Linked DNA regions of Oreochromis niloticus. The protein of the gene in region 1 purifies or fractionates together with the protein of each later gene. This does not show direct contact. Links are inferred from orthologs where the notes say so. Each region holds a gene or a part of one and is shown on either strand. Other genes may lie near its edges.

Evidence for each region.
Region 2: the proteins of aicda (region 1) and ctnnbl1 purify together in Homo sapiens (affinity purification with western blotting; 3 studies listed by BioGRID, with this or other methods). This does not show direct contact. The link is inferred for Oreochromis niloticus from reciprocal best matches to the Homo sapiens genes AICDA and CTNNBL1.

Annotation. Positions count from the first base shown.
Region 1 is NC_031976.2:22,722,921-22,739,631, reverse strand, and holds aicda (single-stranded DNA cytosine deaminase), read left to right. Parts: upstream 1-8,579; 5' UTR 8,580-8,677; coding exon 8,678-8,739; intron 8,740-9,385; coding exon 9,386-9,551; intron 9,552-9,617; exon of another isoform or gene 9,618-9,661; coding exon 9,662-9,944; intron 9,945-10,085; coding exon 10,086-10,198; intron 10,199-10,311; coding exon 10,312-10,362; 3' UTR 10,363-10,579; downstream 10,580-16,711. Other genes in the region: znf628 (zinc finger protein 62 homolog), read left to right, coding at 1-1,143; nat14 (putative N-acetyltransferase 14), read left to right, coding at 4,300-4,380, 4,488-4,793, 4,878-5,321; adaptin ear-binding coat-associated protein 1, read left to right, coding at 11,073-11,173, 12,100-12,200, 14,588-14,692, 15,168-15,249, 15,372-15,480, 15,678-15,825. UniProt on the Homo sapiens protein: Single-stranded DNA-specific cytidine deaminase. Involved in somatic hypermutation (SHM), gene conversion, and class-switch recombination (CSR) in B-lymphocytes by deaminating C to U during transcription of Ig-variable (V) and Ig-switch (S) region DNA.
Region 2 is NC_031984.2:28,881,130-28,897,481, forward strand, and holds the start of ctnnbl1 (beta-catenin-like protein 1), read right to left. Parts: upstream 6,579-16,352; 5' UTR 6,423-6,578; coding exon 6,393-6,422; intron 5,464-6,392; coding exon 5,233-5,463; intron 3,481-5,232; coding exon 3,374-3,480; intron 3,203-3,373; coding exon 3,063-3,202; intron 2,473-3,062; coding exon 2,375-2,472; intron 1-2,374. UniProt on the Homo sapiens protein: Component of the PRP19-CDC5L complex that forms an integral part of the spliceosome and is required for activating pre-mRNA splicing.

The DNA.
Region 1 (16,711 bases):
AGTCACACTGCAGGCGGAGCTGCTGCAGTAACAAACTCTAATGTGACCAGTGGCACCCAGACTATTACTGCTGCTAACACTACCACAAACTCATCCTCTCTACCCACAACATCTGACACCATTACCCCGACTCTGTCGTCCCCTGCCACTGTAGCTCCCATAGCGGATACCTCAGGACCCTCGCCGACTGTTACCATGGTTACACCAGCCACCACAGTAGCTGCAGCATCAGATTCTGCTCCTGTCCCTGCAGAAAGGAAACCTCATTCCACTGTGGAGCAAATGAGGACAGGGGAAACTTTGTCAGGGAAAGAGTTTGTGTTGTGTTTTGATAATGAAGAACAGGCAAAGGAGGGGATGAATATCGGGGAGGCCGGGGAGTCATATGTGCTGCAGTTTGAAGGGAATGCATCTGGGGAGGCAATCGATGAAGGACTGGGTGGAGAGGGAAAGTCACTCGTGCTGCAGTTCAAGACAGATGTGTCAGGTGAAGAGGAAAAAGGGGGAGATAAGGGAGGGGTGATGTCACTCCTGCAAGAATGGAGTGGAGAAAAGCAGGATGGGAGACAATCAGGTGGGGATGGCAGCCAGGGGGAGTCGTATGTCCTTCATTTCCACACTAACACACAGGATAATGGTTCAACCAGTGCTGCCTTCAGCCAAGGGCAGGACAACAGCCTGCAGCTTTCGTGCACATCTACCCAAGGCTTAGTACCACTTGATGGGCAGGAGGTGGTGTTTGAGCTGGGAGGTGAGACCAAGCTGGAACAGGAAACTGAGGAGGGCATGCAGATGATAGCCCTGATAGAAGGTGAAGGAGGAATGATAGGAGAGGAGGGCCGAGGTTGCAGTACTGGAAATGGCACAGTTACTGAGGGTGGAGGAGGTATGGAAAGTATCTTTCAGCTGGAAAGTGGAGATGAAATTGTAATAATTGAAGTCAGCACCAGTAGCTTAAGAGAAGGGGGAATGGAGAGAGGAGGAGACGGGGAGATTCCACAAAGTAGCGAGGTGAAATATGAAGGTGTAACAGCAGAGGCCACGGAAAAGTCTACAAAGGAAGTGAACTCTGCAGTCAGCTCAGAGGACGACGCGCTGAATGGACCTAGCTCTAAACCTAAAGAGATGCAGTTCTCTAACTGAGAACGGTGTGCATGTTAGAGACGAATAAAGTGTATGTATGAGTAAATGCCTCACTTTTTGTGGGCTGTTTGTTAGCACTTTATAGTCAGTTGAGTTCTCATGCAAGTGAGCGAGGACATGCAGTTAGATGAGTACTGTGTTGTAATGCCATGCCAAATGTTATACATTTAAATAGGCTGTACATGGACCTCAGAATATTCCTAAAGATTAGTTTAATTGATACTGTCGTTGGCAGTTTTATTAAGTAAATATGTTTTTTGTGAATGTTGTATATTGCCTACTTTCTTCACAATGTTAATAGTAACTAATAATTAATAAATCTGTTAATACCTTTTATCATTTGGATTTTTAATTCTTTTTACTACTTGTAGGGTGTCCACATCCCGACAAACAAAATGTGGAACAAAGAGTGTGTTAATATTGTTTAGTCTTATTTCACCTGCTCTTTAGTTTCAGTTCAGGGATACATCCAGAGTTAAGCACATGCATTTTTGAGGTACATGTGAGCCACAAGGCGGGATGACTGGTCAGGTGTCATATTCATTTCAGTTCATGTACTGCATGCCACCACTAAATGCATAAATTTAATGGGAGCAACACTTTTTTAAGTAATAGTAAAAGCCCACATCACAGCACCACAAATAGCCTTTGATTATACACTCACCCGCCCATTTCTTAGATATACCTTGCGAGTACTGAGTTAGACCCTCTTTTGACTTCAGCACAGCCTTAAATCTTTGTGGAACAGATTCAACAAGGTGCTGGAAACATTCCTCAGAGATTTTGCATCACAAAAATGCATCACAGATAGCATCTGCAGATTTGTCGGATGCATGATGTAAACCTCCTGTTCCACCACAAAGGTGCTCTGTTGGATTGAGATCTGGTGACTGTGGAGGCCATTTGAGTACACTGAACTCACTTTCAGGGTCAGCAGCAGACCACATAAACTGGATGGGCAATCAACTTTGATGGGGGTCATTTGGCTCAAGTCACTTTGCTATTTCATTTTTTTTTTCTTTTAAAAATGCTATGCTCCAGCTGCAGAAATTGACATTTGATTGTGAACACACAATATCTGTATTTTCAAATAGAGTCATGCTTTAAAACCAGCAGCACAAGGTGATAAATGACCTGTTTATGGTGTCAGTGGGACATGAGGGGTACTTCCCAAAGTCTGACCTGCATTAAATCATCTGCTCATCCACACCAGGATTACTACACTAAACTACTTTGAATTGAATAATCAAACTGAGGTTGCACTGTAATAACTTTTGGTCTTTAAGTTTTTCATCACCAAACAGTATGAATCAATATAACTTATAGTTGGAGTGTATCAGGAGAATTCAGCTGAGTGACTTTACTGGGATTGGACTGGATCCCTGAGGCTCATCCATAACACCAATGAATAAAACAGTTTGACATGATTTGAGCTATGTTGTATTTTCCCACACAACAATGATCGGTCTTTAGTAGATAGACATAGTCAACAATAATACTCAGATACTAACAGTCTGTGTGAATGGGTGCAAATGGGTAAATGAGGCAAGTTCTGTAAAACGCTTTGAGTGCTCGGAGTTGATAAGAACCAGACCATTTATTTGTTACTAAAGAACTAAGTATACCAATGAAATATACCCCACACCATTACACCACCACCTCTAGACTGAACTGCACATACAAGGCAGGAGGGTTCCACAAGATCATGTTATTTACACCAACCTCTGATCATACCATCTGAATGTTCCAGCAGAAATCAAGACTCATCGGACCACACACGTTTTTTCCAATCTATTGTCCGGTTTTGGTGAGTCTGTGTGAACTGTAGCCTCGGTTTCCTGTTCTTCACTGACAGGAGTGCCACCTGGTGTGGTCTTCTGCTGCTGTATACCATCTGCTTCGAGGTTTGACTTGTTCATTCAGACATGCTGCATGCCTTAGTCATGACAAGTGGTTTATTTGACTTTTGCCTTCCTGTCAGCTTCAAGACGTCTGATTATTCTTCTCTGATATCTGGCATCAACAAGGCATTTTCATTCAAGTGCCGCTCACTGGATATTTTCTCTTTTTCAAACCATTCTCCGGAAACCCTAAGTGCGTGCGAGAGAAAATCTCAGTAGATAAGCAGTTTTCCAAAATGCTTGAACCAGACTGGCTGTAGTTTTGGCCATGCCTACAGACCTAAATGCATGGAGTTGGTGCCATGGGATTGACTGGTTCAATACTTGCATTAAGGAGAAGTTGAACAGGTGTACCTAATAAAGTGGCATACAGCAGCGATTTTGCCACTGTAAATCCATCCAGTATAACTGGAACTTGGTTGACGTCACTGCCACCAGACGTACGCGGCGCTGTCACGTTGCGTTCGCTATTCACGTAGCAGTTGCGCAGTGTAAGTTTTACGTACGCAAATGGCGTAGGCAGCCACATTGAAAGCGTGTAACGGGCATAAAATAGAGTAAGTTTGTATTCATAATTCCCTTCTTTCTGCAAGAAAACATATGATGGTTATTCAGTGAAACGTGCCAACGTACACGGGCTAAAAACCAACAGAAGCGCACAGAGCGCGTTTCCCACCTTTCAGCTTGATCTGAGGTACTCTGTGCAGAAGGTAAGTGGAGCGGGGGGTTAAATGTGTCAGGAGACCGCAGCCCTTCGTAATAACCATATAAGGATTTGAACCAGGTCTTTTCGCTTTCGAGTGTACCTTTGATGATTTCTGTTAAATGTAAAGACGAAAGCTTGATATATGTGAATTATACAGTACTGAAAAACGGTCCTGCAGGCTGCAAATCCCCCATAATCTCCATCTGCCTTTGTTGCTTGGAGCCAGCGTGGGTGTGCTGTTACAATGCAACTACTGGCTCAGTGGAAGCGAAGTCTAGTGCATTTTATAGTATTTCATAGTTTTGAAATGGATTGACCTATTTTAACTACGTCACGTTTGTCATACTATGTGTTTAAAAAAACACTAACCAGTATTTCATTGTCCAACAAAATCATCCACAAGCTGTTCACTAATACTAGCCCCCAGAATTACATCCTCCTATCCATCCACTCCTCTTCAAGGCTCCCTGTGCAGGCGCTGTGGATGCTGAAGTTTGCAACATAAAACAGCGTTGGAGCAGGCCAGCTGTTTGAGCAAAAAGCCTAAACATGGTGAGGCTGGAGCTTGACCAGGTGGTGATGAGGAGGATGAAGGAAGAGGACATTGAAATTGTCAAAGCCCTTATCAAGGTTTGTATTTAGACAATGCTTTGGGCTTCATCATGTTGGGTATTAAGTCACATCGTTTTGAGGTTTGTGCCCTTTCTTTAAAAAAAAGTGCATGAATTTCTTTGCAGGAGGGCTGCGAGGGCACGGAAAATCGTCTCATCCTCCACATCCTCACTCGCCCACTCTGCCTTTTCATCCTCGCTGTGTTTTCCTCAATTCTGCGCTGCCTTGTCCACTCTTTCATCCTGGCCCTTGCTATTCCTGTCTTCCTGTTAATTGTCTTTCTCAAAATCACCATGCCGCGGTCAACCGGGGTCCTGGGCAGCAGCCGGCCCTACTGGGACTATGTGGGTAGCAGCTACAGAGAGGCACAGGATGACACCCTGCAGAATCCCTACTGCCGGATCAGTGGGAAGACACCATTTACAAAAAAGGTTAGTCTGTTGACGTGCTGAAAATTCACATTTTTTTGAGCAGTTTTTATTTAAGACTAGTCGCTAAATATTACTTCTGTTCAGCCAAAGCGCCGAGCTGGATCCAAAGACAAGGAAAAAGAGACATCAACAGAAAAGATCACTCCGGAGAGGGAGCAGGCAGCAGGGCAGGTCTGGGTGGCAGAGAGTGAGGGAGATATCCTGGGCTGCATCTTCCGGGAGGGCGAGACACGAGCGGGCATCAGCAGGATCTGCAGGCTGGTGACAGGCTCTTGGTACCGCAGGGAGGGCCTCGGTCGGCTGCTTGTCCAAAGCCTGGAGCAGAGAGAGAGAGAGACAGGGGCATACAGAGTGTATGCACACGTCCCCTACCCCTCAAAGGTGGGGGAAGCCTTCTTCAGGAAACTGGGTTATCGCCACCTTGGGGTGGAAACTAGTGATGAAGATGATAAGGAACTGAAACAAGAGACTCCTGAGAGAGGCTTCCTGGGCTACCCCCTCACTAAAGTGTTTTACAAAGACTTGTGATTGAGTTTTAATGGACACGTGCAGTTTAAAAGGTAAAGAAGTGCGTCTGATTTCTGCAGCAGCATGTTCAAGTATTTCATTTATGTAATCTTTGTGTTATTTATTCGATTATTTATTGAGTGTGCTGCTATCCCGAGGATTCATTTGTTTTGAGTTTATTTTTCATCATCTCGTCATTTTCATTTTGATGAAAAAACGATTCTTTATTTAATCATTCAAAGATAGCATGATCATGCCTCAGCTGTGCTGTTCTCTGAGCATTTGTAATAAAGTACTAATTAAATTAAATTTAAACTGTTTCCTTAGCTGTGTTTGTGCAGTTCCTTTTCTTAAAAAAAAAATCAACACTGTAAACGGTGTGTGCGCGCGCGTGTGTGTGTGTGAGACTGCACGCGTTTCTTTGTGTGAAACCAAACAGATGTGTAGGAGGCTGTACAGTTACTGTATAGGAAGTATGTGCGGTTTCGTGAATATGCAGAATTTATCTACTTTTATCTCTGCACTCCCTGACTGCCGCTGTTCACCTTCGTAATAGCTTGTGGGTCGATGAGGCTGCAAAAACAGCACAACCTCAATAACGTTTTCTTCCACTTTTAGTTTTCTTTGTTATATTTTAGGCAATGGTAAAGATATCAAACGCAAAGAGAGTGCATTCTTTAATGCTAGTGTTAATTGATAAAATATATAGTGCTTTAACAATGTGTTCTTGTTTAATTCTACATTATATTTCCTTAATGAAGAGGAAATAAATCATTATTTTCCACTTTCATTCATTTTAATTTATACACTATAAACTGTATTATCTTTTTTTAAAATTGGAAGCTATTGTGGGTCACAGCATCATAAATGAAAGGATTTTGTGCTTTTTTTTTCATTTAAATTTACTTTATAGTTAAAATACTAAATGTAGATTCATTTTGCAGAAAGTAGCTATTAGCTGCATCCCCAAAATACTGAGTTATTACAAAGATTTAATCAAAATCAGTTATGCTTTCATTTGTATGGAGATTGTAGCACGGTACGTAAAATTTATACATAGGTATTATGACTTAAGCATGTGTGTGGTTTGCAGGTGAATGGCAGTTTATATGACTAAGTGGGGAAATGCACACAACCCCCCTGCTTGAGGCTAACCTTAATATGGTTAGCAGCCCTCACGCTTGCATTGCGAGTCTACCCCACTGCTAACCTCAGACGATGTCAGTATAGCATCAATCTGCCACACATAAACACCACAGGATGTTTGTGCAGTGTTAATGTGTGTGGGAAGGAGGCATATCACACCTGATGTGAAGGCAAATATAGGCCTATACTTTGCTGCTAAATCATGCAAGCCAAGCCGTAGTGGAAAATCACCGTCCTTTAATTAACTTAAATGACAAAGCTGAAACACCTAGTAACACAGCAGTGTTGTAGCATGCACGAGTAAGTGTGTGGTCAGGGCATTTTCACCTTGTAAAAGCTGTAGTCTTTACTTGTGACACTTCTCGGTCATCATCAGGTTGTTTCCACGTGACTGCCAAACAGTAGACACCTGTAAGTTGGGCCTCTACCCGCCTGATCTGTAGCTATTATTGTTGTCAGGAAACAGATGTGAGTTCACACACTGGAAAGAAAGTCTGTTTGTGACTGTGGTCATATGCGTCTGCACGGTATGGCTGTGTGAGTGTGTGTGTGCCTGTGCGCGCATGAGCAGTGTGTGGGCGGGTGGGTTTCGGAAAGTATGACTTGGCATTTCTTACACCCGGTCCCCCCCCCATCCTCGACTACGGTTTAAATGCATGTCTGGCCATACGGTACTACTCCAGCACACACACATACACACACACATGCATACAGTGCACAGGAGGGGTGGTAGTGCACACATGAGTGTTCATGTGTGACTGTGAGATGACCCTGGTCAACTGTGGTCAAACCCAGAGAGGTGGTTGGGAAGTGGTTACATATAGTTTGGCATTTGATCAGCCTCTTGAAGTCCAGAAAAGACACATGCGCTCAAGATCAAATGTGCAGAGACATTAGGCTTAGTGCGCTGTCAGAGTAATGCAATATGATGTGAGGTTGTTCAGTGCATGTAGACACACACACACACACACTCATGAATCACTCTAAATTTGGGGGCACCACACAATCACAGGATAAATTAGATAAATTTGTTCCAGATGATGTATAACATATAGACTGTGTTAATGACATGCTCATACAGATGGCCAACACACACATGCTTGCACACATACACACACAGATGAGCGCCAAAAACAGCCACCCTGGGAAACGGTGAATTCCCCAAACCACAGAGTGCATGAGAGGGTGAGGGGAGTCATGGGAAAGCAGGATGCCTGCATGCGGTGCCACTGAGTGAGCAGACTGGGCCCGAGCTAAAACAGACTGAGCAAAAAAGAAAAAGACGGGAGCAAAATAATACACATCCTGATTTGGCACCGAACCGATGACAGCATCCGAAGGTTCAAAGGCTTGTGAGTGCGATTTATCCACACGCTGTGGTCGGTCAGCTGGCCAGCCAGTCCGGCAGGCACGTAGGGCGAGGTAGGTCGATTACAGGTCTGCTCCCATCCTGACACAGTTTGGGAAAACCCAGATGAGAATACAAAGTAAGTGTTACGTCTGGGAACGCCTGTAACTCCACCAAATCTTGGGGCCCCTGAGGAAGTTGGGAGGGGGGACCAGCTAGGTGGAAAAGGCTGAACAGCACTGTAAATCAAGGTGAGACGGTATCTGGAAGCTTTTACTTGATGATATGGCAAAAACAAACAGTTGAGAGCCCGTGACTGTATGAGTCTTAAGTGTCTGGAAAGTTCCATCCAGTTGGCTCCATTTACTGACGTCTGTAAAAACTCCAAAGGTTACAAATCACGTCAAACGCTCCTCTCATGTGTGGTCACTCGGATTATTTTTTAAAATCTGCGTTGTGTAATCTCCCCCTCCAATAAAATTCCTTTATTGCCTTTCACCAAAAGAATGGTTTCACTTTAATCATTGTTTAAACAGATGTCAAATTCTTTAAATAAACATAAGAACCGTGAAGCATTCAGAAAGAAAACATTTGGCCAGTGAGTAATCCAATTACAGCTTTAATTGCTTAGCAGCAGCACGGTGTAATCCAGCCGTCTCTTCTGTATCACGCCTCCCCAAATTATCTTTGAAAAATCATTCTGTCCAACCAGATGCTGCCTTGTGTTGTATGCAGGATGTTTATGTTTAGAGGTATATCTTCTCAGTTCCCTCCCTTTAACCCCCCAACACACACACACACACACACACACACACACCACACCACACACACACACACACACACACACACACACACTTTCACTCTTTCTCATTTACCTTCCTTTATGCTACCCAAGCCCGACGAGTGGCAAAGCGCGTCTTTTGAAATGATTGCAAAGCTAGACAGGTGAGCAAAATGGATATATTCTATTTATATGTTGCATTTATCGTTCCAAACAACAACTATTTGACCAAACTGTGCGTGCAAACTATTAAATTAAGAAAAGAAAAAAAACGTGTTTTTTTATGGCTCTATTACCACGCTACGATACTTTTGATGCCATTATAAGATTTGTCATTGGAAATCTGTTTCAATAATTACGACCCTTTACTCGTGAGTTATATCAGGGTTTCAGTATTAACAAGTGATGAATAACTGTCCTGCTTTCACTAAAAGTCGTGAAACTGAGAGTGAGAAAAGGTTTGTGAGTGAATGTAATCTGCTTTCTGACTGTCCATCACTTGTGCTTGGTTAACCACAGGTTTTGCATGCATTACTTGTGCTAACTTAAGAGATAAAACTTTCATTAATGAGCGAGTCATCTAAGTAGTAAAAAGAATTAGTCTCAGACCTTAGCGGTGTAAAATTATTAATTGTGCGAATTACTAGGGAAACTTTCTGACACCACAAAGCAGCCACACCTTTTGCACTGAAATGTTGACTGATAAATTCAACATAGCGTGCTTTTAAAATGTATCTTGTTTTTTGTTTTTTTTAATCTGTGCTGTGTCTACTGCAGTGTGCTCTTTAATGTTTTCTCCCTTTATTTCAGTATGCTTTTGCCCAGAAAAAAGTTCCTCTATCATTACAAGAATGTGCGCTGGGCGAGGGGCCGGAATGAAACATACCTCTGTTTTGTAGTAAAAAGACGAGTAGGGCCTGACTCCTTGTCCTTTGACTTTGGACACCTCCGCAATCGCAATGGTTGCCACGTTGAGGTAGGTAAAGTGGGAGAAGATATGAAAAGGGTCTGCTCAGTAGCAAGAGAGAAAACAGCAATTGAATGAAGGCTGTATAATGATTATTTTATTCTTATTTTTCTCTGCAGCTGCTGTTCCTGCGCCAACTTGGTACATTATGCCCTGGCCTGTCTGGGTATGGATTTCATGGGGAGAGGAGGGTCAGCTACTCCATCACCTGGTTCTGCTCCTGGTCTCCCTGTGCAAACTGCTCTTCCAGACTGGCCCAGTTCCTCAAACAGACACCCAACCTTCGCCTCAGGATCTTTGTCTCTCGTCTTTACTTCTGTGACATGGAGGACAGTCGTGAAAGAGAGGGTCTCAGGCTGCTTAAAAAAGTCGGCGTGCACATCACAGTCATGAGTTACAAAGGTGGATGAATAAATTTATGCCTATGTGGGTGATAAACAGAAAAAGTAGAGACATATTTGATTTTAGAGTTGTGCACTATTCCCTAAAATAATCCTTTCCTGGATGTCAGTAACAATTATTTATTTTGCTGATTGTTTTCAGACTTCTTCTACTGCTGGGAGAATTTTGTGGCCCAGCAAAGCAAATTTAAGGCCTGGGAAGGTCTGCATCAAAACACAGTACGCCTGGCCAGAAAACTCAACCGCATCCTCCAGGTATAACATGTAACACACAACATATTTTCCCTCAGGCAAGCAGGATGAGGCCAATCGAAATAATGATGTGTTTAGAATGATAATAATGTCCTGTTCTGCCTTTTCTCTTTCAGCCCTGTGACACAGAAGATTTAAGAGATGCCTTCAAGCTTCTTGGACTGTAAAACAAACCTGTGGCTGCCTCTGAAGTTAGCATTAAGTCTATTATTAAGTCTGATGAGAAAAAGATATGTTGGTGTTGGACCATCACTACAAGAGCTAAACTGAGAATTAGAAAAACTGAGAAAAAAATGCTTTCAAGTTGTGGCAAGGCTTGTAACATTGGGTAGCTGCTGCTTGCTGTATCTGTAGCGAAGTCAAATAAAAAATACTTTACAATCAGATACTGGATTGTGTTATTGATTGCTAACGGTTATCATTCTTAATGTTATAGTTTTATAGTACCAATGTTATAGTTTTATAGTTTCTGGGTAACTACCGGTAGGTGGTAGCTACCATAACCCATAACTGTGGATTGTGGTTAAAAACTGACTCCAGTTTTTCACATTTAAACTGTACTCTGGCAATAAAGTCGAAAAACAAAGTCGTAATCAAAGCAGCAAAGGCTTAATATTAAAATTTTAAAGTTAAACCGAAAAAAATCCCATAATACACCCAGCTATTAATCATTTCATTTGTTCCTTTTGATCTAGCGTAGAAAATGTGTGCGTAACACCCCTTTAATGTAGCAACGTGTCGGTAGCAATGGCGCAGAGGGACCCGCTTATGCGCAAATATACCGTCTATTACGGTCAAATAGCCGTTAACGCGGCGCGGACACACCACACCGTCACCATCACCGCCACCGGCGTACTCCGACTGAGTAAAAGTCAAGATGGCGACTGATGGTCAGTTCGAATATGAGTCGATCCTCTGTGTCAAACCTGAAGTCAACGTTTACCGAATCCCACCGAGAACATCTAACCGGGCTATCAGGTGAGGGATGGGGGAGGTTTGTGACCCAGCGCTCGCGTGCTGCTACCGTTAGGAGCCGGTGCCTCAGCGACCTGCCTACCAACCTACCCAGCTCATCCGCTAGTCACGAAGCCTCACGTAGCGGCGGCGGTAGTTTGTGAGCAGGTTGTTTTTGGCTGTGTATTTACAAGGTCATAGGGTTGTACTGGGCCCTGTTAGCCCACTTAACAAGGACTGTATCGGATCGGCTACATCCCTCTCGGTTTGTCTGTGTTCGTGCTTTCATCCTGTGGCACATCAGGAGAGACCTGGCACTTAAAAATCAGCTATTTAATGAGAACAGCGTGCTACACGTCCTAATTTCGCTAGTTTGTCGTTTAAATACAAGCAGAAGAGCATCCCTGAGGCTGCAAAGAGGCTAGAGTCCTTCTCAAGGACGCTTGAGCATTGTTTGATGTTGCTCCATGTCAAAGGGTTAAACATGGGATGCCCCGCTCATAGCCAATGTGGTCACCTCAATCCATTGTTATGTCTTTACTGTGCAGGTAATGCATATGTTATAAAGAGGTCGATATTGGTTTGTTTACCCCATTTTTCATTGGCTAGTCCTTCAGCGTGACCTGCCGCAGCTGCTTCTGACTGGACATTACACCAACCAAACAGTAGCATGTGCCTCAGGTCCCATGAGACAAGATTGGTTAACCGCTGACCATATGTATTGTGAGTAAGGGTGATGATGTAATATTTCATCCCCATGTCTCAGTGAAATGTCTTAGTCACGTTTTGCACACGTAGAAAATGAGTGTGTCTGAGTATGACAAATCATAACAGTAACTTTCCTATGTCTTGCTTATTCACCTCCTCTGTCAACATCAGTCTGAGTAAACTGTCAACAATTAAACCTACATCACAACTGCTACCTCTGTGTGTGTGTGTGCGTGTCTTAGGGCTGCTGATTGGAAGCTGGATGCTCCTGATTGGACGGGACGCATGCGTGTGACGGCCCGGGGCAAAGTAGCCTACGTGAAATTGGAAGACAAAGTCTCTGGTGAGACACGAGCAGACAGGGCAGCGCCATTGTTTACCGGGGCTGTCGCTGCTGTAAATCACTTCACTGTATAGTCTCCTGTTTGTCACCCTGCCCCTCTGTTACTCATCGATTCCAAGGTGACCCAGCCTGCAGCCGAGCGAGCAGTCTGGAGGCTGCATCAGTGCATTTTTTAGAAACTTAATGTCCTTGTTTTCTGTAAAACACACCTTTTGTTTTCCATTCACGTAACATGGCAACAATAATAAGTTCTGGTCTGATTCTTTAAATCCTAAAGAAAGGTGGTTTATTTACTACCTCCTTCAGCATAGGATACAGATAATGTCCTACAGAACAATCAGAGTAACAAACAGGTGATGCAGATCGTGTAAATTTGAATTAACATAACCTGCTGATATGTTTTGAACCTGGAATAGCAGACTGTTAAGCCCACGGGTAAAATGTGGACACAGAACTGCTGTGCTAAAATCTTCATCATGAAGTAAATCATTTAGAAAATCAAGATTATTCATGCAGCTTGTGGGGATAGGTTAATTGGATAATCGAAATTGTCACTAGGTGTGAATGTGCGAGTGAATGTGAGTGTGAATGGTTGTCTGTCCCTGTGTGTTGGCCCTGCGACAGACTGGCGACCTGTCCAGGGTGTACCCCGCCTCTCGCCCTATGACAGCTGGGATAGGCTCCAGCGCCCCCCGCAACCCTGAAAAGGATAAGCGGAAGCGAATGGATGGATGGATGGATGGATGGAAGATTATTCAATTCAATTTTATCTATCTAGCTCTAAATCACAAGAACAAACACCTCAAGGTGCTTTATATTATAAGGTAACGTACGTACAATAATGCAGTGTAAATCCCACCAATCAACTAACCCCTTTTGAGCAAAGACTTGGTGACAGTGGGAAGGAAAAACTCCCTTTTAGCAGGAAGAAACCAGGCCAAGGTAGGGGCAGCCATCTGCTGCGACCAACTGGGGCTGATGGGGAGAAGACGGGACAAAAACGCAATGTGAAAGAGAGCCAGAGATTCATAGCTGTATTAAAATGACCAAAGTGAGTTTTAGGTTTACAGTAATTGAGCTTGAATGTACCATGCAAAAGTAATTTTCTTTGTTTGTTTGTTTTTTATGGACATTGAGTGCTTTTTGGTTCATTTTCGGTCCAGTCCCTGTACCTGACCATTTCAGAGGAATGTTTTTTTTCTGTTTGTTTGTTAAGCCACTTAACATTGACGTGTGACTCATTCAAGCATAAAAAAAGACACCTGACTCAAGTGACAAACCAGTGTTGTGTCTACACATAACACTTAGGAAAGAACCAATTTTAATTTGTACCTTTAGGCACTTTGTCGCAAAAACACATAATTTGTTCCCATGTCTTTAGTTGAATCTACGGAAAATGCCAAAAATAACACAGTCGGACACAAAATAGTAGTTTTGTACCAGCAAGGTGATTCCCTAAAATTTGGCTTATGTCAGCATGGTGTGCAGTGTATCCTTAAAAAATGAGTAAACTGGATGAGTAGAGGAAAAGTGGGAGGTGTAAAACACTGTCTAAAGCAGATGAACAGAAAGCCTTGTCCTTGAGAGGAAAAACTACAGCAAAGACCTGAAATTTGTAGTTCAAGTCATCAGTATGTACGGAGGAGGCACAACAGCTATCTTCAAAACATGGTGAAGACTCTGCCATGGTTTGGGGCTGCATTTCAGCCAGTGATGTTGGCGAACTTGTCCAAATCGATCGAATTATGAAAACAAAAAAGTACCATCAGATTTTGATAATATAAGGAAATGATGAGGGGATACTCAGGATGTTACTGTATATCTGTTGTTGTGTTGCTGCCTTTAAGATTATCATGAATTCATCTGACCTGAATCACATAAACCTTTAATAAAGGCGGGCTTTGTACTGGATCACCTCTCCAGGAGGAAGTGAAAGTAAGTGAGGACATGATGACCAACTAATCTAAGTATGACCGGAATTTTTAATGACTTTATAGGCTATATATTCCTGTTTATTTAAAACCACCTGAAACATATGCAACATACAAAGCTATAGTTGAGTATCTAAAATAAGCTTTTTGTAGTCCATCTTCAGGGCCCTGTAGTTTTAACACAGTAGACCCACATCAATGATGTCATCGTCACGTTGTTCAAGAGACTTTTGTGAGTGGAGTCAGATTCTCACCAGCTCCACAGTTATTTAATTATTCTCCTTCACATCTGTCCTTTACCTCATGGCGTTTTCCATCAAGGTCAAGGAGAAGTATGGTATGAAGTCTTTTTTTTTTATTAGCTATTCGACAAAGCCTTGGATTTAGTGTTTCTTCATTATCCTGCTCACCTTCAGACTGTTTTTCCAAGCTGATAATGAACACATATCTTTTCAGGGGAGCTTTTTGCCCAAGCACCAGTGGACGAGTATCCTGGCGTTGCAGTGGAAACAGTTAGTGACTCAAGCCGTTACTTTGTGCTGCGCATCATGGACGACAACGGTGGGTAAAATGAGTATTGCTAAGCCATAAAATATTGAAAAAAATGTGTTCATTCTCTAGAGGACACGTTTTAACAGGATACAAAGACATTTTCCGGATTGACATGGGTTTTTTAAAAGTCTAATAAATTTAAATTAAAGAATGTATAGTATGTTTTTTTAAATTTTTTATAGAATCACATACTGTCTGTTTTAGAGATTACTGAACTGTTGAGTAGCTGTATCCATAATTTGTTTAGCAAAGACAAAACTTTATTACATAATTTAAATTTCGTTCAGTCCTGATTTTTATTTTAAAGGTCTTCATTTTTAAAGTAATGCAGGGACAGTGATCATTACAGAAGTTCAGTTTCCCTACAGCACATTTTCACCCAGTTTGTGCTACAGTGTTCAGGTCATTCTGAGAAACCTGCAGGTTTATTTTGTTTGTTATTACTGCTGTCACTTGATTGTGCGTTTGTTTGTTTTTCTCAAAGGCCGCACTGCCTTCATAGGCATTGGGTTTGGAGACCGAAGCGATGCCTTCGACTTCAATGTCGCACTTCAGGACCACTTTAAGTATGTAGCCGCTCTGTGAACACATCTCTAATCATGACTAATTGAGTTGTCAGTGTATTTTTTTTCTTTAGTGTTTCCTAAGATACATTTTTGTATATCACTGCTCCCTTTGCCTTCTTCAGGTGGGTGAAACAGGAAACTGAATTTAGCAAGCAGGCTCAGGCTCCAGACTCCACTCCAAAGCTGGACCTGGGCTTCAAAGAAGGACAGACCATTACTCTGAATATTGGGGTATTATTTATTTTCATATAGTTTCATAGTACTAGTGTGGTGTTTAGGCCTTTCAAAGCTGTACAAATATGTCTCTGTCAAGCTCGAATGCATCGCATCGCATATATTTACTGCTAGATTTAAACAAGCATCAATCTTACTGGATATACCCTCATTCATGCACAGATTTTGTTTCCTTCCATCTATATCTTATCTAGCAATCGAAAAAGAAGGACAGGTCTCGTCCACAGAGTTCAGGTGGCCTTGGGCTCCTTCCACCTCCCCCTGGGGGCAAACTGGCTCCACCCCCTTCTTCCAGATCAACAAATCATAACACACAACCATCAGCAGGAGGAAGTGACTCTGGTAGGTAACAGTCCAACAGCAATCCCATGTTTAATCTTCACCTCAGTTTACAATATTATGAGTTCAAGAAAAGATATGAAGGAGGATTCAGAACTAGGGCTGCGGTATATCATATCGTCCGGTATGATACCGGAATAAATTTTTACGTGATCTAAAAGCGTCGTATCGTGATATCAGCGATAGAGCGGCGCCATGTGTTTACATTCCCTAGCATGCACAATGAGAAAACAAGCCCAGGCATGTCTGACTGCGAGAGTCGCATGTCAGCTTCCGATGACGATTTAGTAAAAGAGGGAGCTACTTCACCAAACTCCAAACACAGCACAATGGAAGCAACCAACTTGTTTCACCACTCGAGGCAAAAACAGATCGTCGAGTTCAAGAAGGCTGCGAAGGTGGAGATGCTAGCAGCTGGTGATGTGCAGCCCAAAAGTAAAACAAATGTGTCACCTGAACATGGCTGGAGCACTCGCTGGCTACACTCCATATAACAGGAAGAGCACATGTGGATGGAAATTACTGATGTGGTTACTCTGTAGAAAAGTAGGGCTTTAAGGAGCTGGTTAAAAAGCTCCAGCCAAGACAGAACATCCCAGTTGAAATGAAATGTTCAGTTTCAGTTTTATAACATGACAAAACTGTGCACAGTCCTAAAGAGTTTCAAGTTGTTGTGTTATTGTTTTTTTAAAACACCGCTTAGGCTTCTTTAGCTCTCACATTTGACTTAATGCTGTGTCACTACTACGCTCAAAATGATGCTTGCAATTCCACCAGGTGCAGCGCAGCAGCTCTGGTATGCAATACTTAAAATAGCATCGGGTCAGTTTTTTTATAGAACGACTGTCAAGCTGCACAGAGCCAATAAGGAGGGCAGGAAGTCAGGTAT
Region 2 (16,352 bases), on another chromosome or scaffold:
TACTATGCCAAAATGATTACGTAATAGATAAACAAATAAATGGCAAAAGTTCCTGTTTTTTCACCATCTACTGTATAATTGTTTTAGTTAAACATATCAAAGTGAAAGAATACAAACTTTCTGTGAATTAACAGAAACCTTCTGTTTTATATTCACAGGACAGTTTGAGCTGAGCTACCAGAACCTGATCTGTCATTTTTCTGAAATTACACAATTTCTTACACTTTCAGCCCGAAGAGTTGTTCTGACAGATTTCTTTCATTTACTACAGCAACATTTGTTTATCATATTAAAAAACAGAGACGTACTGTTACAAATACACTTCCATTGCGTATAATTAGATATCGCAGGGATTAAATGTGCAGTTAAACACAGATAGAAACAGGATTTTCACTGGTCCAGCTATATGTGATATCCCCACATTCTGCTGCTGGTACTGTGTTTACTTGGGCTAGCAACATGCATTAAAGGAAGAAGCTGAGCTGAAGGTATTTTAATATTATGAGTAATTTTCTGCAATGATCTCATTGAATAGAACAGGATGATGCTACCAGCTATACTGCAGAAATTGTTCAAAGAGCACGGCGAAAGTTCCATGGTGCTGGTTTCACCTATAAAATCCAATCTACCATCTATAGAAAGTGCTAAAAATCCACAGAGGCCATCTATCCATCCAACTATCCCCTTCGGCTTATCCGGGGCCAGGTCGTGGGGGCAGCAGCCCAAGCAGAGAAGTCCAGACCCCCCTCTCCCAAGCCACCTCCTTCAGCTTGGCCGGGGGAACACCAAGGCGTTCCCAGGCCAGCCAAGAGATATAATCTCGCCAGCGTGTCCTGGGTCTGCCCCAGGGCCTCCTCCCAGTGGGACATGCCCGGAACACCTCACCCAGGAGGCGCCCAGGAGGCATCCTTGTCAGATGCCCGAACCACCTTAACTGGCTCCTTTCGATGTGAAGGAGCAGCGGCTCTACTCTGAAACCCCTTCCAGATGGCCAAACTTCCCTATCTCTAAGGGAGAGGCCAGCCACCCTTCGGAGGCAGCCCATTTCCGCCACTTGTATCTGCGATCTTGCTCTTTCGGTCACTACCCACAGCTTGTGACCATAGGTGAGAGTAGGGACGTAGATCAACCAGTAAATTGAGAGCTTTGCTTTTACACTCAGCTCTCTCTTCACCACAACAGACCGGTACAGCGTCTGTATCACTGCAGCCACAGCACCAATCCGTCTGTCGATCTCCCGCTCCCTTCTCCTGTCACTTTTTAAGTCCATGCCAGGTAATTGTATAAACCTTAACTGGCTAACCTAGATATCTTTAAAAAAACAACAACACAGGTCTGGTGTTAGCATCTTGTTTCTGTTCACATCAGAAACAGAGCTATCCTCATGAAGTCACACTGAATTTATCAGTATGTTCAAAATGCCACGTGGATGTGTAAAATATTTGGATCAAACTACTCTAAAACTCCCAAGACTCCCAACCAAAGTGGTCAAGTGTAGCAGAGAAAAAAAGTCAACTGATTCTCTGACGAAGTGTCACAGTGACAGGTGTGAAGAAACAGAGGCACGCATTTCTTTTCCCCATCATGGCTTTACCCGCACATTATTGTAATTTGACCTTTGTCTGTGTCGCTCTAAATGTCAAAAAACATAATGGGATATCGAGAATCACGACACTCTAATATTTATGAAAGCCCGGCAGCACGACAGGCTGAACTAGAAAAGAAAAAAAAAAAAAAAAAAACAGGAATGAGGGGGCTAAATATACAGAGAGATGGAGAGACAGGGAGAGATCATCGACAGTGAAGTGATGCCAACACACACAGCCGGAGGGTGACAAAGAAAACAGAACGGAAAAAGAAAGAGTGGGAGAGTCGATGCTATAATTATGCTGATCAAACTACATACTGAAATCCATTTTTTCCTCTTGACTGAGTTCTTGTCATGTTGCTAATCCCATCATGTTTTTTTTTTTTAACTGTCACAGCCCGCCGCTAAGAGATAATTAAAAAGACTTTAAATAAATAAATCAACAGGTAACTTCAGACATTTGTGCCCCTGTAAATGACACTGGCAGCTTTACTAAGAACTAATGTTTGTGGATTTTTTTCCCCTTTAAAGTTATTTTAATACAACCCTTTTTTTTAGAATTATTTTAATTTAATGTAATTTGTGTTTCAAATCACACACACAAAAAAGCAAAAACAAAAACCATGAATGCTTCTAAGTGAGACTTAACTGAAACCTTTCTTTTGATTCATTAACAAAGACTAAGCAATCAATTTCTCTCCACCGTATCCAAGAAGCTTAAGTACTAACTCCAAAAAGTGCTGCTTCATCAATATCCGCAGAGACTCATGAAACTTTTGTACTCACCAGAGCATCTATGAGTACCTCAGCACCATCCTCGCTCTCATGCAGTGTGTCAATATCTGTCAGCTCCTGCAGCAGGTCCACCACGGCTATGGCGACATGTGGCTCAGGCTCAGGACAATAACAATACTCCCTACTTGATTTAACTCTGCAATCCTATAACACTGTAGAAGTAAAAGGACCCAAATCAATGCTTTGTCTTTCCTCTCAAAGCCAGGCGACTACTTCACCCAGAATGCAAATTGATCGCCCAGGTTGGTCCGTATTTTTGGTTTGTTGTTGGGGGCTGCACCTTGAGTACCAGTGCCTTCACTGAAGGTATTTTAATGGCTACTGTAATATTTATTTCTTATATTTTTTAAGGGTTTATGTATTTACTCCAATATGGTTTTGAATCTGAAATATGACTCACTTAGTAAATTGTATTTTGTTACAGTTTTAATGTAAGTAAGAACAAGTTTATAGTTTAAAAAAACATGGCTAAAATAAAAGCTTTGTGTGCAACAAATTCAATAAAAAGTTGACACATCTTTGCTCTCTTAGCTCTTTTCATGTTCTTATCCTGTCCTTGGTTCTTTGTACTAGCTTCGTTTACAACAGTAAACAGGGAACAAGTTTAAAGACCAATGTTACGTAACAAAACATTCAATAGAGAGAGGCGATCTGAATCAATCTCAATGTGAAAGGATATCAGTGTTTTCATGACTGAGGAGGCCCAGCAGTGAGTGGACGGCGTTCAGCTCCACCAGCAGGTGGTAGAGATCTGGCATCGTAGCAATCACATGCATTTCCTGGATAATGTCATTCAGATCCAGCTCCGACTCCATGAACCTAGTTTAATAACACAAATTAGAAGTTTTGCATTATAAATTTGATCATAATATGACAGTGTTTCTTAGAAATGCTGACACCCTCTTTTTTCTTTAGATCCACTTAAATCCACATATAGTTTTGTTTGTTGGAATAAAGTCAAACAAGATACTCTGTCTGTAATGGGCTTACTTTTCTGGATTGTCTGGAAACTTAATCCTCAGTTCCTGGTTTTTGTATGACCTCTTCTCAAAGGTCAGAATCATTTTCTTCACTGAGCTCTCATCGACCAGTTCTGCCTGTTTGATTAGCACAGGAGGCAGGGGAAAGGGAGCAAAAAGATGGAGAAGGGAAGATGGAAAGAAAAAGGAAAAAAAAAGATTTTATTAAAGCAACTGCTGCAATAACAACAAAGAGACTGTAGGGTCACCTTAATCATGTGAGTGAAGCAAATCGTGCAGACATTTTGTTCAATCAGATGGAATGCATTTGACTGAAAAGAGAAGGTGTTTGACCTCCTGATGGATTATAAACCTCCAAAGTGCTGGACAGATAACAATGTAGCATAAAACAACCTTTCCTGGAACTTACTTTGTTACCATTTCACCATGTTAGTGTTTCAGTAATTCAAGTCTCACTCTCTCCAAGTTTCTTGAAAGATCCAAGATTAACTGGGTGATTGAGGACACCAGATCCTGGTTATAGTAATCTAGTTTTGTTTGGTTTGTCAAAGCCACAAGAGCATTAGACCAGCCAAACTGACTGCACACCCCCTGTGGTCACTGAATATGGGACCAGCAATACTGGCAACTTTGTGATTGGAGGATTGATGTATGGGAAGTTTTAACCCCAGTGGAGCAAGAGGATTTCTCAAAGAGCTTTGAGGAATAAACCATTTTGCAATTCCTTTTTTAAAAGCAGAAACCTGGATAGAAATCAACCAGAAAAATTAATGAACAATACGAAACTGAAAAGGAAATTCGGGCAGGGAAACCAGTGGGGAATCACAGAAAACTATGACAAGGGAAAGTGAAAAGTGGCAATAAAAACCTTTTGTGTCCACTACAATAATGATCTTACAGTTTATATCATTTATTGCTTATTATTTTAAGTAGGTACTGCAGACTAAGCAGCTTGGAACAAAAATGAAAAATACAAAGACACTTTATAAATGGACGTTTACTTTTGTTTTTTTAATTAACTGACTTTAACAGGTCACAGAACAATAAACAGACATGACCACAGTGGCCAAGTCTGTTTTAATGGCGTGACTTTAAATGACGTAAAAAGAGGGATCTCTTAATCAGACCCAAAGCCAGGATGCAGCAGTAGTGAAGAGGAGAATTTGGGTTAGTGGCAGCACCATCAAATCTCACATTTGTCTTCCAACAAAGGAGTCTGAATTATTTCCTCCAGACTAAAGCAGAGATTGCCATAAAAGAAATAAGTCATCTTTGTCATTTAACATTGTATTCTATTTGATTTAAAGTGCTCTCGTTATTATCAATGGAACATTCGCTAAGAATGCTAATGCATTTAAGTCTGTTGTTTGTGTTGTTTACAGGAAACAAACGCGCTCTTGAGTAAGTCTGACTTAATAGATGTGCTCCCACGTGTTAAAGAAACTGAACTTTTGTCTATTTAATGTTGTCAATCTTAATATTTTCTAATTACTCCACCGACACAGATGTCACAGGTGGTTACATTTAGACACAATGCATGCAGATTATACCAACAACTAACATCTAATAAGTCTGACGGTATAAATCTGGCTGAAACACTTTTAATCATAGCATGTTTGTGTTTGTTTTAGTAGTGTTTGTGTAAATCTATCTGAATTTGCTAATGTGGCTAATGTCCTGATGAAGCATGCTAGTATGGTGAAAGCTGTTCAAAGATTGCCATGCAAACTATGAATTCCAAACATATGAGAATAAAGGAACACATTTAATTTTCATGATCTTTGTTACATTTCTTCATTTTTCATCACCCAAAGAAACCAGAGTAACAACTCTATAATAATAACATAACAATTACAATAACCTTCCCACCTCAGGTTCTTCTGCATCCTGGTCCATCAGCTTTTCCAGGATTATCTTCCTGTCCCCTATCAGCTCCTCATTCTCCCTCATCTCAGCACCTCCTTCTGCTCCTGCCACCTCCCTGTATCTGGCCAGCTCTCTAGCACTCATCCCTTTCAGCTGCTTGCCTCCTCTGGAGTCTTCATCTCCTCCTGCTCCTCCATCCTCTTCGCCCCTGGGACGCTTTGCTCCCCTATCAGGCTGCAACAAGAAAAGGGATCATTAAATGTATGTACAGGGATTTACTCTATAAGATGAATATATGAAAAAGTGTTGGCAGAGCCAAAAATTATCTTGTTGCTTGTTTTCAGCAAAGTGACATATAATGAGATTTTAAAAAATTAATGAAATACACCATTATAGCACCTGACTAGGTCATATCGGGCAGCTATAGAAAAGTCAATATAGAAACACTCAATCATGACTTTTCAAATGAATTTTAAAAAAAGAAGCACATATAATTTTATCAAGCTAATCGAAGCAGCTGCCACAGTTTTCAGCAGCTGTCAAACAATTAATCTAAGAAAACTGATGGCATTTTAAAAAGTTGCAACTAGAACAATGAACCTAAGTAAAAGACGGGATTTTACTGAAATACAGATTTATGAAATGAGAGATATAATGGCGATTTGCAGATTTGATACAAATACTGGGTGAAGTCGAGTTCTCGTGCGTATGCCTTGTATGATAAACGAAACTGTTCAGGTACACATTTGTTTCGACATTAACATATAAAACACCGAATCGAGCTGACTTAAGAATGCCAAAGATTCAAAATGCTTTGTTATGCATAACTAGTTTTAAACAGATGTATCTCAGGGAAGTCCACCGATGTTCAACCCTCTTGATGTGCTGCAGCGAGATAGCTAACAGACTTTTAGCAAACGGGCTAACTGCTAGCGTTAGTAAACACGGACTTGAGGTCCAAAGTTGTTCTTTCTTTTCGTGCAAGCGTCACTCAGTTCTAATTTACTGATCATTAAACAAGAACGCAAACAAAGGAGGGTAAATAAAAGTCTACATGCCCACACTCATTAAACTGTTAGCGTTTATTTACAACCAAATGAATGAGATAAGTTACCGTTAGCTTAGTTAGCTCTCACACACATTAGCAGGAGTGAAACGTCTACCTGATAGTTCAGGAGCTCTCCGACGTCCATTTGTCCAGGATACAAGTCTCAGCTTTCTTATAATTTTATTTCAAAGTTGAAAAAGCGCTCTCACAATTTAAGTAGACAGCTATTCCGCTAACTACAAGCTCCCTACATACACATGCCTGCCGTAAAACAGTCTTCACTCATTGCCGTAGCAACGAATTGTCGTAAACGTTGACGTTGCATGAGCAGAGTTTTCAACCATCTTCGTAACGTCTCGGAGCGATTATTTGGATAGGGATTTTGACTATTTTCCAAGTTACTGTCATCGTTACATCTTCATCCTTGCTGATACGGAATTCTCCCGTAGACTGGACTGCCATGTCTCTCCGTACTAGGATTATTTGTTTTCCTTTGTATATGTGTTATTCATTTTCTCATAAGTGATTTAACCAAACTTATAAATATGACTTAATTTGGTTAACAGTACAGCGCACAAACACTATTATAGACAACAATAATATTAAGAAATACTTTATTTTTCCCATATTTCTGAAATTCCAAGCAACGATAAAGAAATACATAATATTTCTAAATCAGTAATAAAAGGGAAAAACCACTTTAAATGTCAATAAAATGTTCAAATGAAAAAGCAGATCACTGTATGTCAGATATCTGAATTGCATTATAAAAAGTTGTTGCATATTGTATGAAAGATTTCGTGTATCTGTCCTTGTGGCAGCGGAGCTGAATCAGTCTGTTAGCGGAAACGCTATACTGTAAGCGGCGATGAAGTTGATCAGGCTTATGAATGACAGAAAATATTTTTTTCAGTGATCACTTTTTAAATGTGTCCAGTTTGCAGCCAGTAACAGAGCCAGCAGCGGACACCACAACCACCACAACTGGCTGATTAAAAATCTCCATCATTTTAGTAGCTTGCCTCCACCAGTGTGTGAATGTGAGAGTGAATGAATAGTGGCATTGTAAAGTGCTTTGGGTGCCTTGAAAAGCGCTATATGAAATCCAATCCATTATTATTATTTTCTATCAGGAAGGTCTCAGCGTCCATAGGACATTGTTGTCTTGTATACAGCCTCTGTGTGGGTTTTCGAGCTCTGTGGTTAATCTGGACATCCAGGTACTTGTATTCCTCCACAATATCCACTCCCACTCACTCTTTCTTACTCATGTTCAGAAGCAGATTATTTCTCTAAGACCATGCCACAAAATCATTCACTAGTGTTTTATACTCCTCCTCCTTCTGCCCATGACTGATACATCCAATCACTCCAGTCACATGTGGTGGTCAACAGTTGTTAAGCTCTGATAATGTCGGCTTCAACGCCAGTATCATATGCTGCCTTATAAGTGAGCTGTAAATTTGACTCAGGTTAACAGACAGTGGGCTAGCACGAGTCTGAAGAAACTTGGGGCTGATACCATCAGGGTTGCAGAAGTTAGAGGTATGGTTACTTTTAGGGCCAAAAGTGCCCAAACAGAATTCTGCAAATCAACGGCAGTGCTTGAAAGTTAGATCGTCGAAACAAGCAGTAACAGGAACACATTGCTTGTATGTTATCACAAAGTAGTATTATAACACAAAACAATAAATGAATTCATTATCATCAGGGTGTCCTAAAAAGTCACTAGAAAGCTTCAGTTGATCCAAAATGCTACAGCAAGAGTAAAGAGTCTTGCGTTATCAGGCCCTATCTTATCTTAAAGGCCTCATAATACCATTTCACACCAATAGAACATTTCACTCTCAGACTGCTGGCTTACTTTTGGTTCCTAGGATATTTAAAGGTAGAATGGGAGGCAGAGCCTTCAGCTTTAAGGCCCCTCCTCTGTGGAACTAGTTCCCAGTTTGGAATCAGGAGACAAACACCCTCTCTACTTTTTGTATTTGGCTTAAAACCTTCCTTTTCAATAAAGCTTACAGTTAGGGCTGGACCAGGCAACCCTGTACCCTCCCTTAGTTACACTGCAATAGATCTAGGGTGCTGGAGGCCTCTTATGATGTGCTGAGTGTTTCTTCTTCACTCATCTCTTTTTACTCTCCACGTGTTTATATATTTATTTCAGTTACGTAGTTATTGTTCATCTCTGTTGTACACAGTGTGTCTTTTGTCCTGTCTCCTTCCCCTCACGTCCAGGTGGTTGCAGCAGATGGCTACCTCCCCTGTTTCTCCCAGAGGTTTTTTCCTGTTAAAAGGGAGTTTTTCCGTCCTACTGTCGCCAAGTGTTTGCTCATAGGTGGTCATTTGATTGTTGGGGTTTTCTCTCAATGATTGTAGGGTTTTTACATAATAAAGAAACCCGAGGTGGCTTTTGTTGTGATTTGGTGCAATTTAAATAAAATTAAATTGAAGTTGGATACAACATTCTAGAATATGCATTTAAAACATTAAACCTACATTTTTGTCAGTCTCATTGTTCTTGTTTAGCAGAATATGTGTACATATGGATGCATTATTAATAAGCTACTTCATCCACCACTGATAATACATCTTAATAAAAAATATGTTTCCCCTCCCAACAGAATCCTTTGGGCTCTGTTGCCAATGCTGAAATAAGCCCACTTAATAATACAACTAAATTACACATGACTGTTACCTCATCAGACCTCACAACATTGAATCCTGGTCTTATAGGCTCAATTTTGCTGCATTCATAACAGAAGATGCTTCATATGCCAAACTGTCCCACTGTTCCAGACAAGCAGAAAATCACCTTTTCAGTGAGCGTCATTGAGAAATGTATGAGTGCCGCATGGTGTAGAAGCCTCCTTTGCCACTCCAGTCTCTGGCCAGTGATCTGTGACAGTAGAGCAATAGAAACAACATTTAAAAGGAAGGCCACTGCCAGGCAGTCAAGCTTGACGTCCCACCAAACACGAGGGAAAATGCACTTGATCAAAGGCAAAAGAGAGAAAAGAGAATAAAAGGGAGCATGAGGGTGAAAAGAGGACTTTATATGGAAATCCCAGGGCTGGTGAGAGGCAGTTTCAGATGAATACAAAGCTTTGAATCAGGGACCTGGAGAAGGCTCTTTTTATGAGTTTGACAAATGAATTTGGGTTAAAAAAAGACAAAAAATAGATGATGTAAAAGTATTTATACTGAACTCCCAATCCCAATGCCTGTTTGTGATTATTTACCAAGTATACAATAAGGTAAACGTCCAGGTGCATTATTAATGTTTATATTGCTGACAGTTGTATAATATGCATGTGAACAATGACAATGAACACATGTTCTTCTGATGCCCGAAAACTGGATGGTGAAAGACGAGGAATATAGTGACTATGGAGATCGTCAAAATGTGAAAAGTTCAAGAGAGCAGATATCTGAGCCACGAGTTAAATGTATAGTCATCTGGGACACAGGAAATGATATGATTTGATCCAGCAAAGCAGACACACAGTATTTCCAGTGTAAGGCACTTTAAAAAATAATTTAAATTTAATTTAAAAAATTAAATGTTAAAAGTTAACTTTTTTATCAGAGGGTCTTTTTCACACAAGTCACTGTAGAAAAACCACCAGTGTATAGGACGAAATGATTAATTGCTGACTTCCATTTGGCTTCAGTTGAAGGGTATTGTGCATGATGGCTCACTGTCACACTGAAACTGTCATGCTTTACTGAGATAGTTTAATAGAACAGAAATATTGTAACACTGGTACCTAAGTCAAGTCAAAGTGACTGTAATCCACAGTATTGCAAATATATTAGTTGATCAGCTTCTCACCTCACATGTGCTTCTGGAAGGATGGTCAAAAATCCCAATAAATACACTCCTAAATGTCATGGAAAGACTTCCCAGAAGAGGATGCAAAGGGTGGGCCAACATAATATTAAACCCTTTGGATTAAGAATGCAATGGCACTCAAGTTCCCAACACTTTTGTTAATATAGTGTACTTTTCTTTCTTTTTTAAAATTTTCTTTTAGAATAGAATAGAATAATCTTTTAATTGTCCCACAAGGGGAAATTTGGTTGTAACAGCAGCCAAAAAGACACATACACAGGTACACAGGACACAGAACAGAAACATACACAAATTTTCTTACATATTTACATTAAGGACAATGGTTACTATAAACAGAGTACTGTACAGTTATTAAATTAAATAAAAATAACTACAGATAAGAGGCAAACCAGGTTGTAGTGCGAATCGGTTAATTAAGTTATGGCAGTTACAGCGCTGATGGAAACATCTCTGTTTGTTGGGAGCAGTTTTGATTGTACAGTCTGACAGCTGCAGGGAGGAAGGACCTGCGGAAACGCTCCTTCATGCATCGAGGATGCAGCGCCCTAAATGCCCTTTACAGTGCCCTAAAACCCATAGCCATGATTTAAGGCATAGAAAACCTCACATACTTACAAACGCAAAGAAATTGGTTTGTGACACTTTCACATGGAGCATTGTGAATGTTTTCTGCATTCCAAATGCTCTTCAGTAGCTCGTGTTCTCCTGGAAACTGAGGACACAGATATGCTTTTAAGTTTTAAATTATGGCTGCCAGTTGACTTACTTGAATAAGCTTCTGATGGGTAGAACAAATTTACATTTAAACAACAGAGAGGATACAACTCTACAGACAAGTTAATGTCTTTTTAATCTTAGATGTTAGACCTTATTGTGTTGTATTTTTATATATTTCTATGTCAAACATTCTTATTGTATTACAAAAAAATAATGATATGCTAAAATTAATTTATTGTTTTTCAGCAAATCTACTAAGTTCAGCTGAAACACCAATTAACTCTCTAAGGGGATCATCAGAAAGGTGTATATTGTGTATCTAGTGTAATATTTTTATATAAACATGTCAACTAGAGTATTAACTCTGAATGAAACCTACCTTGAAGCTTGCATGATTACAAACACTTTATGTTCCACACAATAATTAACACGTTTCGCTATCCCTGAAGGAGCCAAAAGCTTTTCACACACAGCCGTCTGCCTAATGACATTGCCTCATCGTTTCCCCCGCAGAATTATTCTGGTTCGACGCTGTGTGATCCCTTTACACAGAATCGCACAGCATTTTCCTTGAAACAGAACAATACAATTTCACACAAGCTGGGAAGGCTGATTACATTAAATCACATGAGGTCAGTGTGATTGTATCATGCTGTGGAGACACGCATAAGTGTGTTCAAAATTCAGAGTGGCAATGTTATTAAAAAAAACAGTCAGAGAAGGAGCGAGAGACACAGAGAGAGGGGGAGAGAGAGCGAGAGATGATGGTGACAGCCGATTAGCCTTATCATTTCCCCCTCACTAAGTCAAGTGGTGCAATCAAATGATTTTCTCTCCTCTTAAACATGATTTGAATTATGCATCACATCAGCAGAGTACTTAAAAGCCCCACTCTCCAACAACGCACATTAAGCACTTACCTTACTTAGATTTCCAGAAAACTAAAGAATTAACAAGTTGTTTGGTCATGATGTACAGTAGTTCTCTGTGGATGAACAAGAAATAAGCTTTGCTATCCTCCTTGGATGGAGGAACATTTGATAATAAATTAATTTTAATTGAACATAGCAAAAACTCTCACTAAATAGAAATTGCACCGTATTCCTTTGATTGTTAGGAAATCGTAAAAGTACAATTTTGTATATTGTGTTATAGTCTGCAGAATATGTCAAGAATTGCTTGTTGTACAAGTAAAAAGGTGCTTTATTATTATTTGGGTTATGTGCCTTTTCATAATGCTGCTATTATACTTTTATATAACCCTAACCAGAGAGATTTCTGCATATCATCACATTAGATAATGTTTGGGCTTTTTTCTTTTCGTTTTTCTGGTGGTGTCTGCATTTTCTGCTGTCAGATTTAACACAGCAAGTATTCTTTGATCTATTTTAAAATCAATTTTGCTCCTATTTTGGGTAAAGCTTTGTATGTTGTAGTTCACAGTATACTATCAACATGTTACTCTTTCTTCCATCCATCTTCTTCTGCTTATCTGGGGTTGCGAGGGTAGCGGCTCTACTCTGGCCTCTCTTCGATGGCTGAGATCCTCACTCTATTTTTAAGGGAGAGCCCAGGCACTCCTTGGAACACATTTCCGCCACTTGCATCTGCAATTTCATTGTTTTCGGTCACTACCTAGAGCTTGTGACCATATGTGAGGGTAGGGTTGTAGATCAACCAGTAAATTCATAGCCTTGCTTTTATGTTCAGCTCTCTCTTCACCACGATGGACCAGTGCGGAGTCCACATCACTGCAGCCGTGGCCTCATCCATCTGTCAATTTCACGCTCCCCTGTCTACCCCTGTCTTGTGAGCAAGACCCCGAGATACCTAAACTCGTCCACTTGGGGCAGCAACTCGTCTCTGACCCTGAGTGGTCACTTCAATCTTTTTGTGGCTGAGAGCCATGGCTTCAGATTTGAAGCAGCTGATTCTCATTTAACCACCTGATGAAGCCAGCAGAACCACATCATCTGCAAAAACCAGAGATGAAATTCTCAGGCCACCAAAGTGAAAACCTTCCCCCGACCTGGCTATGCCTGGGAATTTTGCCCATAAACACTGTGAAAAGAATCGGTGCCAAAGGGCACAAATCCAACTTATTACCAACAATAAGCTCATCAAGCTCATCCAATGGTTATATAGGGAATAAATGGCTTGTGACAGTAAGCCAGACACCCCATCCTCCCGAAGCAACCCCACCAACAGGATACTCAGAGGGATGCCATCGAATGCCTTCTCCAAGTCCACAAAGCACATGTAGATATGTTGAGCAAACTCCCACACACCCTCAAATATCCTCTGGTCCCCCTTCTCAAAGATGGGGACCACCACCCCAGTCTACCAGTCCACAGACATCGTCCCAGATCTCCACATGACATTGTAAAAGCATGCACTACATCTGGAGCCTTTAGGAACTCAAGGCAAACCTCATCCACCCCAGAGACCCAGCCACCAAGTTGTTTAACTGCCTCAGTGATCTCGCCCCTAGTGAGGGCTGAGTCGTTCCTCAACTCCACATGACAAGGTGTTCAAAAAGGTACTGTGAATGCCAGTATGTCTTGGAAGGGATATATAAAGAAAAACACACATATCTGAAATATTTAAAATAAAATCCCTGTACTGTAAGGGAAATCATCTATAGGGGTAGAGTTCAAATAAAAGCAAATTATTTCACAGCGGACTACCCCAGTAAATTCAGAGTTACTTGTGGGAGTCAAAGTGCATGTCTATGGAAGAGGATTAGGTCCATTAGAAAAAAAAGTGGGGATATCTTTTTTTCACTGAATTCTCAGAAAAAAATGAGATTAAAACTTAACATTTCTGACTTTAATCTCAGAATTCTATCGTTAAAGTCAGAATTCTGGGGAAACCCCCCCAAAAAACACCTGCACTTTTTTCCCTAGTGGCCCCAATCCTCTTCCATAGATTTCTGACATCTCATGCTGGGAAATTAATTACTTGTACTTGCAGACCTAGCTTTGTCATTTGTGGAAAATGCCCAGGACATCAACCATGAAACAGATTTTTTTTCATCAGGTCACTTATAGACTACTTTGTTAGTACAGCACTATTATAAACTGTGTTTAGGAATCCATAGCAAAAAACTGAGCGTAAAGATAAAGGAGACTGGAGAGCAGGATGAGTTTAGTTTTTCAGTGACCTGCATCCTGCAGAAAAGTAAGTGAATTTGGGTTTATTCCAGCTATTTGAGAGGATGTTTATGGCTACTATTCCCATGCTGGTAAAAAAAAGAAAAAAAAAGGGGGGTTAACAATAAATTTTGCTTTTTTTCTTATGCAGTTTTTCCTTGACTGTTAACAGCAGTTCATTAGCAGGTGCTCATTTGCACCTGCTAATGAACTGGTTGGGTTGCATAAGTAAAATTTCATTTTTTTTATTATGCTAATGCATTTTAACCAACAAAGAAGAACAACTAATGGATAGATGTGCACACTGAAGCATGGTGTTTTCCTGATAAGAAAGCCCAAGAACAAGCTCAAGCCTATTTGCTACAAACGTTTTCAGAGGAGCCAGAAAGCACCTAATAGCCTCTCTCTCCATTGTGCGGTTCACAAACCTGACACCGATAGAGGCTGGAGGCTGCTGCCTGGCCTGCTGTAACATGGCAGTGAAACAAAGAGACACAGAAGATGGCAGGACACACACTATAGAGATAAATGTATGTAGGGAATGGTGTAGGAGGAGAGAGAGAGTAGGGAGAGAGAACAAGCGATAGAGGAGGTGGAGAGTGGCAGGAAGCGATAGAGGAGGGGAAAGCAAATTAATTTTATCTCCATTATGAATATGATGGCTGTGGTGCGCTGTGGTGGTGGCCCACGCCTTTGGGTGATAGCAAACCAGCGGTATTTAATCGGAGGGGCCTTTGTGCGTGCACACACACACACACACACACACACACACACACACACACACACTGTTCTTGGCTGGATGGAAAAGCCTATGAAAAAGAATTTAGAACAAGATGTGATACAAAAACTCCGATGAAACAGATACTGATGAAAGTGTTTTAGATGGATTAGCAGCTCCTTAAAGCCATGAAAATTAATTAAATTAATTAATCTGCGCGCCCTTGTGTATACCAACGGAAGACCTGATTTAAAGTCACAGAGCAACAAAATGCAGGGAGCTTCTGTTTCAGAATGGTTATAGTCTTTATATAGCAATGTGCTCTGATAGCCTGGTGCCATATTTAAGGTCTATCCATGCCTGCACTCCTGGCCCCCACTACCTTGTATACATCAGTGGATTGCAAAAATTACATGTGTATATACATTCTGAATAAATGTATGTCCAATCTGCATATACACTTGCTTTACATACAAAACGGTGGGGATTAATTCATAATGGACATAAAGAAAAAATCCCAACATTACTCCAACACACACAATTGTGTCTTTGTCACCCACAGACATCTTTTTCAAATCCCCGTATTCACTCATAACTCCACTCTCGAGCTCGAGTCAGAAGTGCTGCTTGAAAATCAAATGTGTCATTAACTCAGATTTTTAATGAATTATTCACAGCACTACAGAAATCCCTACGGATTAATCCCTGCATCACGCCTTCTCAGCATGCACACACGGCACCAAGTCCCCCGAAGCCTCACTTGTCTTGAATGACATTTTGCATGCGCATAAATTCACATGCATACACGATTACACGAGTGGACACAGAAAGTTGTAGTAGCGCCCACTGAGATTTTCTTTATCGTTTCCCCACAAACGTTTCCACATGTATAATCGCATTTCCACAATGCAGACATCTGATAGTGGGATTAGCTGTTCAGAAAATTTCACAATGCACACCAGTACATCATCATCTAAGCTTTGGGTTCAAAGATTAATTTCTGCCAATTAGTGGGTGGAGAGAAAGCAGACTTTCTTTCTCCCTCTCCCTCTCTCTCTTCTTTTTTTTGAGGGCATGAGACTTTCCTATCCAGCTGAGTCCAGGAACAATTTGCACAACTCTCATTTTGGAAAAAAGCAAAAAACATTTTCTGTATGGTGCATAACTGTCTGTCAAATATTTTAGCAAACATCTAAACTGTGGTAAAAAACCTAAAATCTGTGTACACGCTGTGTTCATACTGTGCAAAGATTAGTCAAACCCCAGTATTTCTAAAAGCAGCAAAGTTTTTCTTGCTCAGCATAATTATTAAGTGTATCAGAGATCCCTTTTCATGCCTGAATCCTAGCTTATCAAAACAATAATGAAAGATTTGAAGTGAGAAGCAAGAAACAAGAGACATCCTAACACACAAATGACCAAAAACACCCACTTAATATTACATGTGAACCCACAGCACTAGCATGAGCTGAAAACTTCCCAGCTCTACACAAAAAGCAAAAGTGAGTAAAAAACAAATATACTGAAATCCTAAGTGAACGCAGCTTCTATTCTTTTGAAGAACATGAAATTAACATAAGCATTTTTACTTTTCTTTTAGTGTATACTCTTACTTGTGTTAAACGTAACATA